Linked DNA regions of Arabidopsis thaliana. The protein of the gene in region 1 purifies or fractionates together with the protein of each later gene. This does not show direct contact. Each region holds a gene or a part of one and is shown in the gene's direction. Other genes may lie near its edges. The genes, in order: U2A', AT4G22380 and AT5G20160.

What was found.
Region 2: the proteins of U2A' (region 1) and AT4G22380 fractionate together in Arabidopsis thaliana (co-fractionation; one large-scale study listed by BioGRID). This does not show direct contact.
Region 3: the proteins of U2A' (region 1) and AT5G20160 fractionate together in Arabidopsis thaliana (co-fractionation; one large-scale study listed by BioGRID). This does not show direct contact.

What each region holds. Positions count from the first base shown.
Region 1 is NC_003070.9:3,159,934-3,163,685, reverse strand, and holds the start of U2A' (U2 small nuclear ribonucleoprotein A), read left to right. Parts: upstream 1-1,993; 5' UTR 1,994-2,082; coding exon 2,083-2,164; intron 2,165-2,264; coding exon 2,265-2,305; intron 2,306-2,668; coding exon 2,669-2,798; intron 2,799-2,898; coding exon 2,899-3,104; intron 3,105-3,604; coding exon 3,605-3,752. Other genes in the region: CDC5 (cell division cycle 5), read right to left, coding at 1-1,242, 1,508-1,684. UniProt on the Arabidopsis thaliana protein: This protein is associated with sn-RNP U2. It helps the A' protein to bind stem loop IV of U2 snRNA.
Region 2 is NC_003075.7:11,811,242-11,814,993, reverse strand, and holds AT4G22380 (Ribosomal protein L7Ae/L30e/S12e/Gadd45 family protein), read left to right. Parts: upstream 1-1,993; 5' UTR 1,994-2,071; coding exon 2,072-2,299; intron 2,300-2,794; coding exon 2,795-2,953; 3' UTR 2,954-3,263; downstream 3,264-3,752. Other genes in the region: AT4G22390 (F-box associated ubiquitination effector family protein), read left to right, coding at 1-1,088, 1,198-1,237; AT4G22370 (uncharacterized protein), read left to right, coding at 3,431-3,752.
Region 3 is NC_003076.8:6,803,187-6,806,938, reverse strand, and holds AT5G20160 (Ribosomal protein L7Ae/L30e/S12e/Gadd45 family protein), read left to right. Parts: upstream 1-1,743; 5' UTR 1,744-1,836; coding exon 1,837-1,839; intron 1,840-1,959; coding exon 1,960-2,280; coding exon of another isoform or gene 2,281-2,286; exon of another isoform or gene 2,287-2,606; coding exon 2,607-2,738; intron 2,739-2,837; coding exon 2,838-2,864; 3' UTR 2,865-3,157; downstream 3,158-3,752. Other genes in the region: AT5G20165 (kish-A-like protein), read left to right, coding at 209-211, 301-407, 505-573, 688-722, 916-977; SPX1 (SPX domain-containing protein 1), read right to left, coding at 3,572-3,752.

The sequences.
Region 1 (3,752 bases):
AGCTTCCTCTCGTCTCTGCCTCTCAAGTTTTGCACTTTCGTGCATGTCCATGTCTTCGTTAATGTGAAGTTCATCCCTGAAGGGAGTCCCTTTGGGTGTCATAGAAAAAGAAGACCCATCCCTTGATGGCGTCAAGCCAATTCTTGGAGTAAGACCAGCACCACCAGGAGTCATTGAAGGGGTCAACATTGGATTAGGCGTTTGAATCTCCTTCTTTCTCGGAGTGACCCCAGTGAAGTCAGAAGGGTGCAACTCAGGATTTTCTCCTCCTAGCAAAGGTGTCTGAGAGTCTCTTAATCTGGCCAGGTTTTCTGCTTCCATCATAATAGCATCACCTTTACCAGCAGGAGTTCTTTGAGGTGTCCTCATGGGTGTCATTCCTTGCCTTGGTGTTTGTGAGTAATTTGCCAAAAGTGCACGAGTAGCAGCACTGCCTTCTGTTAGCTCCTCATTCTCGGCAAGAAGGTCACTGGCATAGCCCATCTTAGCAATTTCTTCTAGCTCGTGGTCTGAAATCTGCGGTGGTGGTAACATCAGCTTTGACCTCTTCCTAACAACTTCCGGATCATTCAGCTTGTTTGCTTGCAATATAGCTGCTGGAGCATCCTGTCTCTGAGCAATTTTATTCCTTGCAACATCTTGTTTGCGTAAATGTGCTTCTACATCAGCTCTTCTTTTTCCTTCAAGTTCTTCAATGGTAGTTGGAAATTTTACTTGATCAGCAGGACGATCTTCATCCGCAGTATCATAAAATCCCGCAGGTGCCCTCTTTTCAAAAGGAATTTCTGCATTATAGTCGATTCCCTTTCTCTTTCTTTTCCTATGCCTTCCATCAATCCCAGCTGCTTTTAGTTCTCTTCTTTTTTGCAGAGAAGCAAGCCTTCTAGCTTCCTCAAGTTGTTTTTCTCTAGCTTTTCTTTTAGCCTTCTTTCCCCTCGTGTTAGCCAATCTAGCTCTTGCTTCAGAAAGCATTTCTTTCTCATCTTCGTCCATGTCTACCGGATCAGGACGAGCAGGCTTTGCTTCTGGGTTCGGATCAATCTCACCAGGACGTAATTTTCGTGGATCATCCGCTGCATCATAATTTTCATCCTTAGTGCATGCTGCATCAAGGAGCTTCTCATACCTCTCAAGACATTGAGATGGTGTACGACCCACAATAGGAGCAATAGTTCTCCATTGAGTAGGCAGAAGTTTAGCAAGATGTAGAAGCTTCTCATCTTCTTCTCTGGTCCATTCAGTCTACATTAACATCACAAAATTAAACTCAGTTGTAATTCAAAAACATAAGAAAACCTTCGAATACTCCAAAACTCCTAGCATTACTGCCTACACTTTCTATGAATTTCCAGATGCAAATCAATACATATATACAACTAAAGCACCTAGTAACAAGCTAACAAACTACCTAAAAGGCCAAATCCCCAAACAAAAAAATGTTCGCCAGATCCATAGTTTTTTTTCGAACACTACTAGTTAAGAGAAGGAAAACGCGAACACGACTTACCTTTTTGATAGATGGATCGAGCCACTCGTACCAGCGAGCTTTACACTGTTTAGCAGACTTACGAACGAGAAGAGACGAGATCCGAGCCCATTGGTTCTTACCATACTTCATCACGGCGGCTTTGAGAATCTCATCTTCGGTGTTCTTCCAAACACCTCCCTTAATCATAATCCTCATCTTCGCTCAACTGTTTTTGATCCAACCGCACTCCAATTCAAGGTCTCTGAAGCTAATGCTCGTGGAACTCGGTAAGAACGAAGAACAGAAGGAAGCGAGAGAGAGAGTAACCCTAGATTAGGGTTGGAACCAACGAAGAAGAAAAGATTCAATCGTTCACTAGTCCTTTTCTTTTTATTTGTTTTTTCTTTTTAATTTCCAAAATCATAAATATCGGGATACACTTATGGGCCTAACCGACTGGGCCAATTCAATGGGCCGTTTATTTAAGTGATAAATTAATAGCAAAGGTCATTTTGCTGCGTTTTTATGTCATCTCTAGCCACTGTTGTTGTCTCTTTCCTCTGAATGCTTAGCAGCGACAGAGCTCGACGAAGCAGTAAAACCCTAGTAGAATAATGGTGAAGCTCACGGCTGATTTGATCTGGAAAAGTCCTCACTTCTTCAATGCTATCAAGGAGCGAGAATTGGATCTACGAGGTACACTTCTTCTCTTTCCCATTACATTTTCTAGGGTTTTGTAACCCTAAACGCACCTGCTCTGGTTAATCGTTCGTTTTTCTGGGTTAATTTGTTGCAGGTAACAAGATTCCTGTAATCGAAAACTTGGGTGCTACTGAGGTATTTCTTTTTTCTATCGATTTTCGTTTCCTCTTTGTCTGTTAGCTGAAGAATTTGTTGATGCGGTTGTATTGTATGTTCTTAAGTCTGCCTGTTGGGTTTCGGCATTCAAGTATTTTGAAAATCATTGACAGAAACATTGTTGAAGTAGCTATTGCTCCTTTGTCTTAGTTAGTATCTGTTTTCTAGCTCTTTAGGAGTATATGTGGCTTCGTGTAATAGTACCTTTTTCTTACTGTGGATTCTTTACTTTTGAGAGCCAGTCTTCTCTAAGAAAGGCCTCCCATAAATTTTGTGTTTGGCTTAGGTAGATTATTTGCAGGTTTGAGGTTCTCTAATTAACTTGTCTTGGTTTGCTTACAGGACCAGTTCGATACCATTGATCTGTCTGATAACGAGATAGTTAAGCTAGAAAACTTCCCATACCTCAACCGTTTAGGAACTTTACTCATCAATAACAATCGTATCACCCGGATAAATCCTAACCTTGGAGGTAACATCTATCTGTGTGTTGTAAGAAATGTCAATTCAAACACATTGTTTGCTTTGTTGGTTACCTGTGTTGTATTTATCGTATGGTTGTACATCTGCAGAATTCCTACCGAAGCTTCACTCTTTGGTTCTTACAAATAACAGGCTTGTGAATTTGGTTGAGATTGATCCCCTTGCCTCCATTCCCAAGCTGCAGTACCTTAGTTTGTTGGATAATAATATCACCAAAAAGGCAAATTATCGCCTTTATGTGATTCACAAGCTAAAATCACTTCGAGTACTGGATTTCATTAAAATCAAAGCCAAGGTAAGGACCTTATCATATGCTTTATCAACTGTTCATTTTTGCTTACCCTAGATGCCAACTTAATGTTATTTTATATGCTACAAGTCACCGGGAGCTAACCTTAATATCATCTGAAAAATAGAATATCTGAGAGCAAGAAATTGGTCTGCCTTTTGTCTTACGTTGTTTAAGATTCTTGTGCACAGTTATATCTGTATGCTGAAATAAGAAATTTCACTAATATTAACAACATTTAGCTAAAAGGGTTTGCTTAAAGTATATATAGTTTGGGTCTTGATGACTTGGTTGCCTGATTATCTTAAAGTTTTTTGTATTTAGGGCATAAATATAAACCAGACTTGATGTAGGGTGTGGTGTTTTTATTTAATTTCCTCGTGTTATAACCTTGTAGCCTTGGATCGGATAATAGTTTGGCTTTATCCTTTAGCCCACTGTTGTATATCTAAATTTTACAATGGTTATAGCAAGACCTTTTACCTGACATTATTGGTTCCTAACAGGAGAGAGCTGAAGCTGCATCTTTGTTTTCATCCAAAGAAGCAGAAGAGGAAGTTAAAAAGGTTTCTCGGGAGGAGGTTAAAAAAGTGTCAGAAACTGCAGAAAATCCAGAGACTCCGAAAGTGGTGGCGCCAACAGCGGAGCAAATAT
Region 2 (3,752 bases), on another chromosome or scaffold:
TCAAAGCCTTGCTTCTCTTTGATCGACAGTCCCGAGTTCGTCTCATCTCATCTCCGTCGCAGACTCGAAACGGGAGAACATCTCATGATCTTACTCCGAGGACCTCGTCTTCTACGCACGGTGGAGCTAGACTCGCCTGAGAACGTCTCCGACATCCCTCATCCTTTACAAGCCGGAGGTTTTACAGAGGTTTTTGGTTCATTTAACGGTGTCATAGGGTTATGTAACTCTCCTGTTGATCTAGCGATCTTTAATCCTTCGACTAGGAAGATTCACCGTTTACCAATTGAGCCAATTGATTTCCCAGAACGTGACATCACTCGTGAGTATGTGTTTTACGGTTTGGGTTATGATTCTGTGGGCGATGACTTTAAAGTTGTGAGGATTGTTCAGTGTAAGCTTAAAGAAGGTAAAAAGAAATTTCCTTGCCCTGTTGAAGTCAAAGTTTTCAGCTTGAAGAAGAATTCGTGGAAGAGAGTGTGTCTTATGTTCGAGTTTCAGATTCTTTGGATTTCGTACTATTACCATCTCTTGCCTCGTCGTGGCTATGGTGTGGTTGTTAACAACCATCTTCACTGGATTTTGCCTCGAAGGCAGGGAGTCATTGCCTTTAACGCGATAATCAAATATGATCTTGCCTCTGATGACATTGGAGTCCTCAGTTTCCCACAGGAGCTTTACATTGAAGATAACATGGATATTGGTGTGTTAGATGGCTGCGTTTGTTTGATGTGTTACGACGAGTATAGCCATGTTGATGTTTGGGTTTTGAAAGAGTATGAGGATTATAAATCTTGGACTAAGCTGTATAGGGTGCCGAAACCAGAGAGTGTTGAATCGGTTGAGTTCATTAGACCTCTGATCTGTTCCAAGGACAGGAGCAAGATTTTGCTGGAGATTAACAATGCGGCGAATCTCATGTGGTTTGATTTGGAAAGTCAGAGTCTTACAACTGCCGGAATAGAGTGTGATAGTTCATTTACCGCAGACATCCTCGTGAGTAGCCTTGTTTTGGGATGTAAAGGAGATCCTACTCAAGCTCAGCGCAGTAAAGATCAGAAGATGATGCCAAAGAGTACTAAAAGGTGGTATGCCCTTCTCTAGTTAGTGTTTTCTTACGCAGTTTGTTTCCATGAAGAATTGTAGAAAGGGTTTAACCGTATCAACATGCTTAAACATCTTGTGTTACATTCTCAGGGATGGTTTTCTGTCCAAGGGATTCAAGCTGAAGCTATGAGCAAAGCAAGGGAAACTTCTGAGCCCAAACATTAGATTAAGGTAAGTGAAATGGATCTAAAGATCTTGAGTATTTCCTTAAGTTGGCATCTTCTTTTCTTTCGATGTGAGATTTCCAATCTTATCATAGTTTAACATAAACAAGCTTAGGAGCTTTATCTAAAATCTGACTATTTCAAGTGTTTTTGAGTTTGAAACATGTAGAAGAAAATCTTGATCTGTGTTTGATTTCAGGTACAGTAACAGTAGCAGTGGCAGGGGGAAAGGATATGGCAAAATCCTAAACCCATGTGAGATCTTAGTACTAATAAGCTTAACCCTATGTACGTAGTATGATGTCGTAAGGAAATAATAAGATAGTGTTCTTCTATATGTAATCGACTGAAATTTATATGTAAAACTCTTATCAGTATGGTCTTTTGCAATTTGATATGACTTGAAACTATCAATCTCAATCAAAAGTAAATCTAGTCGCAAATATTGTTGATGAAGAGGATCTACTAGAGTTTAGAGAACGCAATGTTATGAACGTAAATCGTCTATAGCTAAACCTAAACACAACATCGTTTATTTAAAAGAGATGTCAAATAGTCCAAATTGGACAAACATAAACCGAACTAAACCGAAATAATTGAAATAAGACAGAAATAACCGACATCAAAGGTCGGTTTGGTCCCAGATTCACCAATCCGAAGCGAAACCCGAAAACCCGACCCGAGTCATGTTTCTATATATATACCTTCTTCTTTTTTTGGGTTAAGGACAGATTTGTAAACATTCTCAAATCCTTCAAAAACCCTAATTTCTTTCTGTGAGCTTATTGAGAACGAAGAAGATGACGGGAGAGGTAGTGAACCCTAAGGCGTATCCGTTAGCAGATTCTCAGCTTTCGATAACAATAATGGATCTTGTTCAACAAGCTACTAACTACAAGCAGCTTAAGAAGGGAGCTAATGAAGCTACCAAAACATTGAACCGTGGAATCTCTGAGTTCGTTGTTATGGCTGCTGATGCTGAACCACTTGAGATTCTTCTTCATCTTCCTTTGCTTGCCGAAGATAAGGTTACCATCTCTTTCTCTCTCTCGATGATTTGGTTGCAATTTTAATTCAACTCGTGTAGAATAGAGAGCTATTAGGTTGCAATTTTTGAGGCTGTGTATCGTTAGGTTAGTGTTTCTCAGATTTTGGTGGTTGTTAGAAGCTTAAGAAGCCATTCTTAGCTTTATGCAATTTTGTGTTGAACATACTTTTCTCTGTTGAGTTCTTTCAGGAAACTTTCTCTGTTTACTCTGTTTTGGTCTTCAATTGAATCATTGTATCTATGTAATTATTGGTGTATGCTTCAAATTTACTCTTGAGGAAGACATGATTCATCATAGCTATAGTTTCTCCTAGTTTATGTTTAAAAATTGTAGCTTTGAGTTCACTCTTGAGGAAGACATGATTCATCATAGCTATAGTTTATCCTATTTGAACAAGCTTCATTACTATACAAGCAATTATTACGTGGTCTGATTTTGAACTAACGCTTTTTTGTACTCTCCATCTAAATGCAGAATGTGCCATATGTGTTTGTACCTTCGAAACAAGCATTGGGAAGAGCATGTGGAGTAACAAGACCTGTTATTGCTTGTTCAGTGACATCGAATGAGGCAAGCCAGTTGAAATCGCAGATTCAGCATCTCAAGGATGCAATTGAGAAGCTCCTGATCTAAGGATTTCTGCTCAGTATGAAGAGTCTCTGCAATGTGGAATGGCTCTGACTGAAGTTAGTTTGTGTGATTTACCTATTTGAAGAATGTATTGTGACTGGTGTTAATGCTTAGTATGTGGATCATCATCGCTCATTTGTACAATTGAGTTTCTTAGATTTTTATTTTGGTGCTTGCCAAGCACTGCTTGGTTTGTATTGAGACATAACAGGTAAAGAGCCGTCATGGTTCTTTAACTGTCTATTTATTACACTAACGATCTATCCTTAAGTCCCATTACGAAAAAATCGAAAATTATTCTTATCTTCCAACACTTGCTACATTTTTCATCGCTTTGCTTTGTCCACAAACAAACACATTCTTTTATTCGTTTGTTCCAGACTTCACTTATACAAATGAAAATCTATGTTCTTCACAAAGCTTTTTATAAAGTATTGCAATCTTATGTAGTCAGCAAAACCATCCTCCATTTTACAAGCAATGGCATCCTCATATATGTCAATTACGCAAACAATGTTTTCATCTAAACTATGTTCAGGGATAAATAGCTTTAGCTCATGCTCAATTTACACGAAGAATTCTCGCGTGTCAATTCGAAAGGGTTCTACCAATACGAGTTTTCATCTGGATCTATCACACTCACATCGAAGCACTTTGAAGCATTACACAAGGGTAAGAAAATCGGAATCAGATTGGGAAGAGAGCATAGATGAAGAGAAATCAGATCAGGAAGAGAGCGAAGATGAAGAGAATGACGATAAGAAGGAAGACTATCGAGCGAAGGAGACAATTCTAAAACTAT
Region 3 (3,752 bases), on another chromosome or scaffold:
TACAAATCTCGGTAGTGATAAATTGTTAGGTTTTGACGATAATTGTACTTGCTCAGTTTTTCATGTGTTTAGTTATGATTCTTCTTGGGCATGTCTGTGTCTTCGAATCGATTCTCATGTGATTCCCATTATTGTTTTTTTTCTTCTGGTTATTTCAGATTCAAGGAAACAATTATTAGCTTCTCAAGTGCTTCAGTGATCCGATACAATGGTAGTTATTGCCTTCTCTGTTCCATTGTTAAATTTTGTTAATTTCAGTGATTTTGAGCTAAGAGTTTTGTTTATCTTTGATAAATTCAGTCAGCTTTGTTCAATTTCCATTCGTTTCTGACGGTGGTGCTGCTTGTGATCTGCACATGCACATATCTGAAGATGCAGTTCCCTGCCATTTTAGAGCAGAAAACTGGGTTTGTACCTTCTTTGTTCTCCTTTTTCGTGAATTTTATTCTCAAAACCGATAACACTAACACATTTGGAGCTTTGACACCGGTTATTGTTTTCAAGCATTGTCTTTTGCCAAATTAAAGATGCTTTGTCAGATTTCTCTGCATATTGTTACTTTAGATTGCAAATGTTACTTCATCCTAGTGCTTTTTTTGTATTTATAGCTTGCATCTAATGCCCTCAGTCATCACTTTGTTCTATGCATATTAATGATAGAAATTGCTTGATTAATTACTATTGCAGGTTTCGAGGATTTTTCTGGAAGGCTGCTAGAATAGGTAGGCCTTTTCACCCCTTTGGAGCTCAGTTATCTCTTGTGATTTCAAAACCTTTCTAAAAACATTGTGTTGAACAATATTTCTTTGCATGTGTTCTATAGAAAGTAGTGATAGGCTTTCTAGGAGCAAGAACTCGTTACTAATCAATGCAGCTACTAACAATTGTACTATAAATTCAACTCATGAATACCAGATTCTAATGCTTTAAAACCCATGGTCGATCTCCTATTTAAGCATATGCATGATGGCATATAGTTAAGTCTATATCCTCCTACTTTTACTGCCATTTGTTTTCCATCGCCGAACATTCTGTTGCTTAACTTTGCTTTGTCATCACTTGTACCAGGTGAGCGTTTGAGCCCTTGGGTCTCCGCTGGATGCTTCATGATGGGTGTGTCGATCATTTTCTTTTGAGTGTCAACTTCTTACATATCCAGTTCTTGTAGATTTTTACTTCTTTGGGATGCTCATTTTTCTGTATGCAAAAGATTCCAAGGGGTTGTTGATGAAACTGAAAGAGTAGAATATTATCCTCTTTGGATTATGGATATGGTCTTGTATTTGGAACAAATTGTGTCTGTTATTTTAATGTGGAGACAAGTCCATAAAGCTCAACCATAGAAATTAGTAGAGCATAAGACACCAGAACCAGCTAATAAAACGCATCTTTGTCGTAAAGGAAGAGAGTAATCACATACGTAACTTCAAGTTTACTAATTTCATTGAACTAATGAGAGCATCAGTTAATAAAAGTTTGTTGTGTGTGTGGTAGCTGTAAAATTATCAGTCAATTTGGATAATCGATCAGTTTTATGCGAGCAAAAAGAACAAAGGTGAAGTCATGGTTACCCTTTTGGGCTTTAATCAAAATTTCGCCGACAAAAGAAGAAACTAAAAAACCAAACTCCCAAAGTCAAAACTAGTTCTGTCGGTTAAGGTTAGTTCACATGGGCCGAAGTATATCATCACCCAGGCCCATTAAAAAGATGTATAAAATCGACAAGCATATAAGTAACAGCGTAAGCCTAAGTTATCATTCAGAATATTCAAGCTGAGAAAGTCGTAGCCTCTAAAACCCTAATCCTCTCTGAAACCCTAGACATCGCAGCTGAAAATGGTACTTCTCTCTTCCTCTTTCTTCTTTTCGGTATTATCTTGCAGTGTTTTCGAAGGAATCTTACTCTTTGATTGTCTGATTTGGGTTTTAATTTGTTTTTGTTTTCGTTTCTTCTTGCAGACCGGAGAAGTCGTCAACCCTAAAGCGTATCCGCTTGCAGATTCTCAGTTATCGATAACAATTCTTGACCTCGTTCAACAAGCTACTAACTACAAGCAGCTCAAGAAGGGTGCTAATGAAGGTATCCGCTTGTTACTCATGTGTGTTTGTCTCTCTTATTTATTGAGTTTAATGTTTGTGAAGTTGTTCCTGATTTATTTAAATTTGTTCATTTCAGCTACGAAGACTCTTAATCGTGGAATCTCCGAGTTTGTTGTCATGGCTGCAGATGCTGAGCCTCTAGAGATTCTTCTTCATCTTCCCCTACTTGCTGAGGATAAGGTTTGACTTCTTCTTTCTCTGGGTTTCTCTTTTATTATACACCAGTTTATTTAGCAAATGAGATATTTGTTTCCTTAGTTCATAGAAGAGAATTAAGTTTACTTGCTGAGGATATAGTTTGATTAGTTTGTGCCAATGTTCAGCCAAGTTTTGTATATCATTTTGTTAACTAAACTCTGATTTCATACTTGTTGGAGTTTAAAATGACAGCTTTATGATTGTCTTTTATGATTTTGTTTAGCTTGTATGTTTTTGATTCTGTAATGCTTTGTTGTTCTTATATACTAGTTTTCTATATTCTTACTTTCTTTGTGAATGTTTTGTAGAATGTTCCTTATGTCTTTGTGCCTTCAAAGCAAGCCTTGGGAAGAGCCTGTGGTGTGACTAGACCTGTTATCGCTTGTTCAGTCACATCTAACGAAGCTAGTCAATTGAAATCACAGATTCAACATCTCAAGGTAACTTAGCCCTCACTTGTGTACTCTCTTTATAACCTTGAACCATCATTGATTCCACAGAATTGGTTAATCATTAACTCTTTTTTTACATTTCTTCAGGATGCTATTGAGAAGCTTCTGATCTAAGGCATTCTCTGAATTGATTGCTCGGTATGATGGGTCTCCGCGAATGGGAAGGCTTTGACTGAAGTTTTGTTTAGGCAACTACCAAATCAAAAACCGTCCATTATTCTACTATCTTCTCTTCAAGTTTGTAACGTAATTCACTTTTCTGCAACTTGGTTTCTTAAGAATTTGTGTTGGTTTCTGGTTTTGGTTTGTAGCGAATCATTGTGTTATTTATAAGAACTTGTTTTGATATCTATCACAAAACGAACAAAAAAATTGAAATAAAAATTGAAGGACTTGAATTGAGATTGAATACGAAATCAATTGGTCTGTTGCATTATGCAAAGTCTTACCTTGAATTGAGATCGAGTCACTAGTATCATTTGCAGTCATCATTTCTTCTTGAAGAGGATTATGAACTTGTATATGTAGTAGTAGAGAACTTGAAATATCTAGCATATGACTTTGGAAAAGAAGAAATCAATAATTAATCTGAAGTGGTATATATTACATCAACTACAACACACCCAACACAGAAACAAAGTTACATTGCAGTTTTGTGTAACCTAAGGACTTATGACCGACCAAAGATGATATCCAGAAACATGATCCTATAGTTTCTTCTGCCTTTTTGTGTACATTGATGATAATGTCTTGTTTAATCTGTTAGCTTCTTCTATTGTATAAAAAAGTGGAATAGAGCGAGTGTGCCTCTGTCTCACTCTCTATTTGGCTTCTTGCTCCAACAATGGAATCTTCTTCCATGTCTCATCTAAGCCATTTAACTGTAGAGGCGGCAATGAAAACACACTAACAGTAGAACTTCCACTCCTGATCTCCTTCAAAACCCGCAAGGCAGCGATTGTGCTCTTCATATGAAGACTCTCCATGAACTTATGCTCTGAT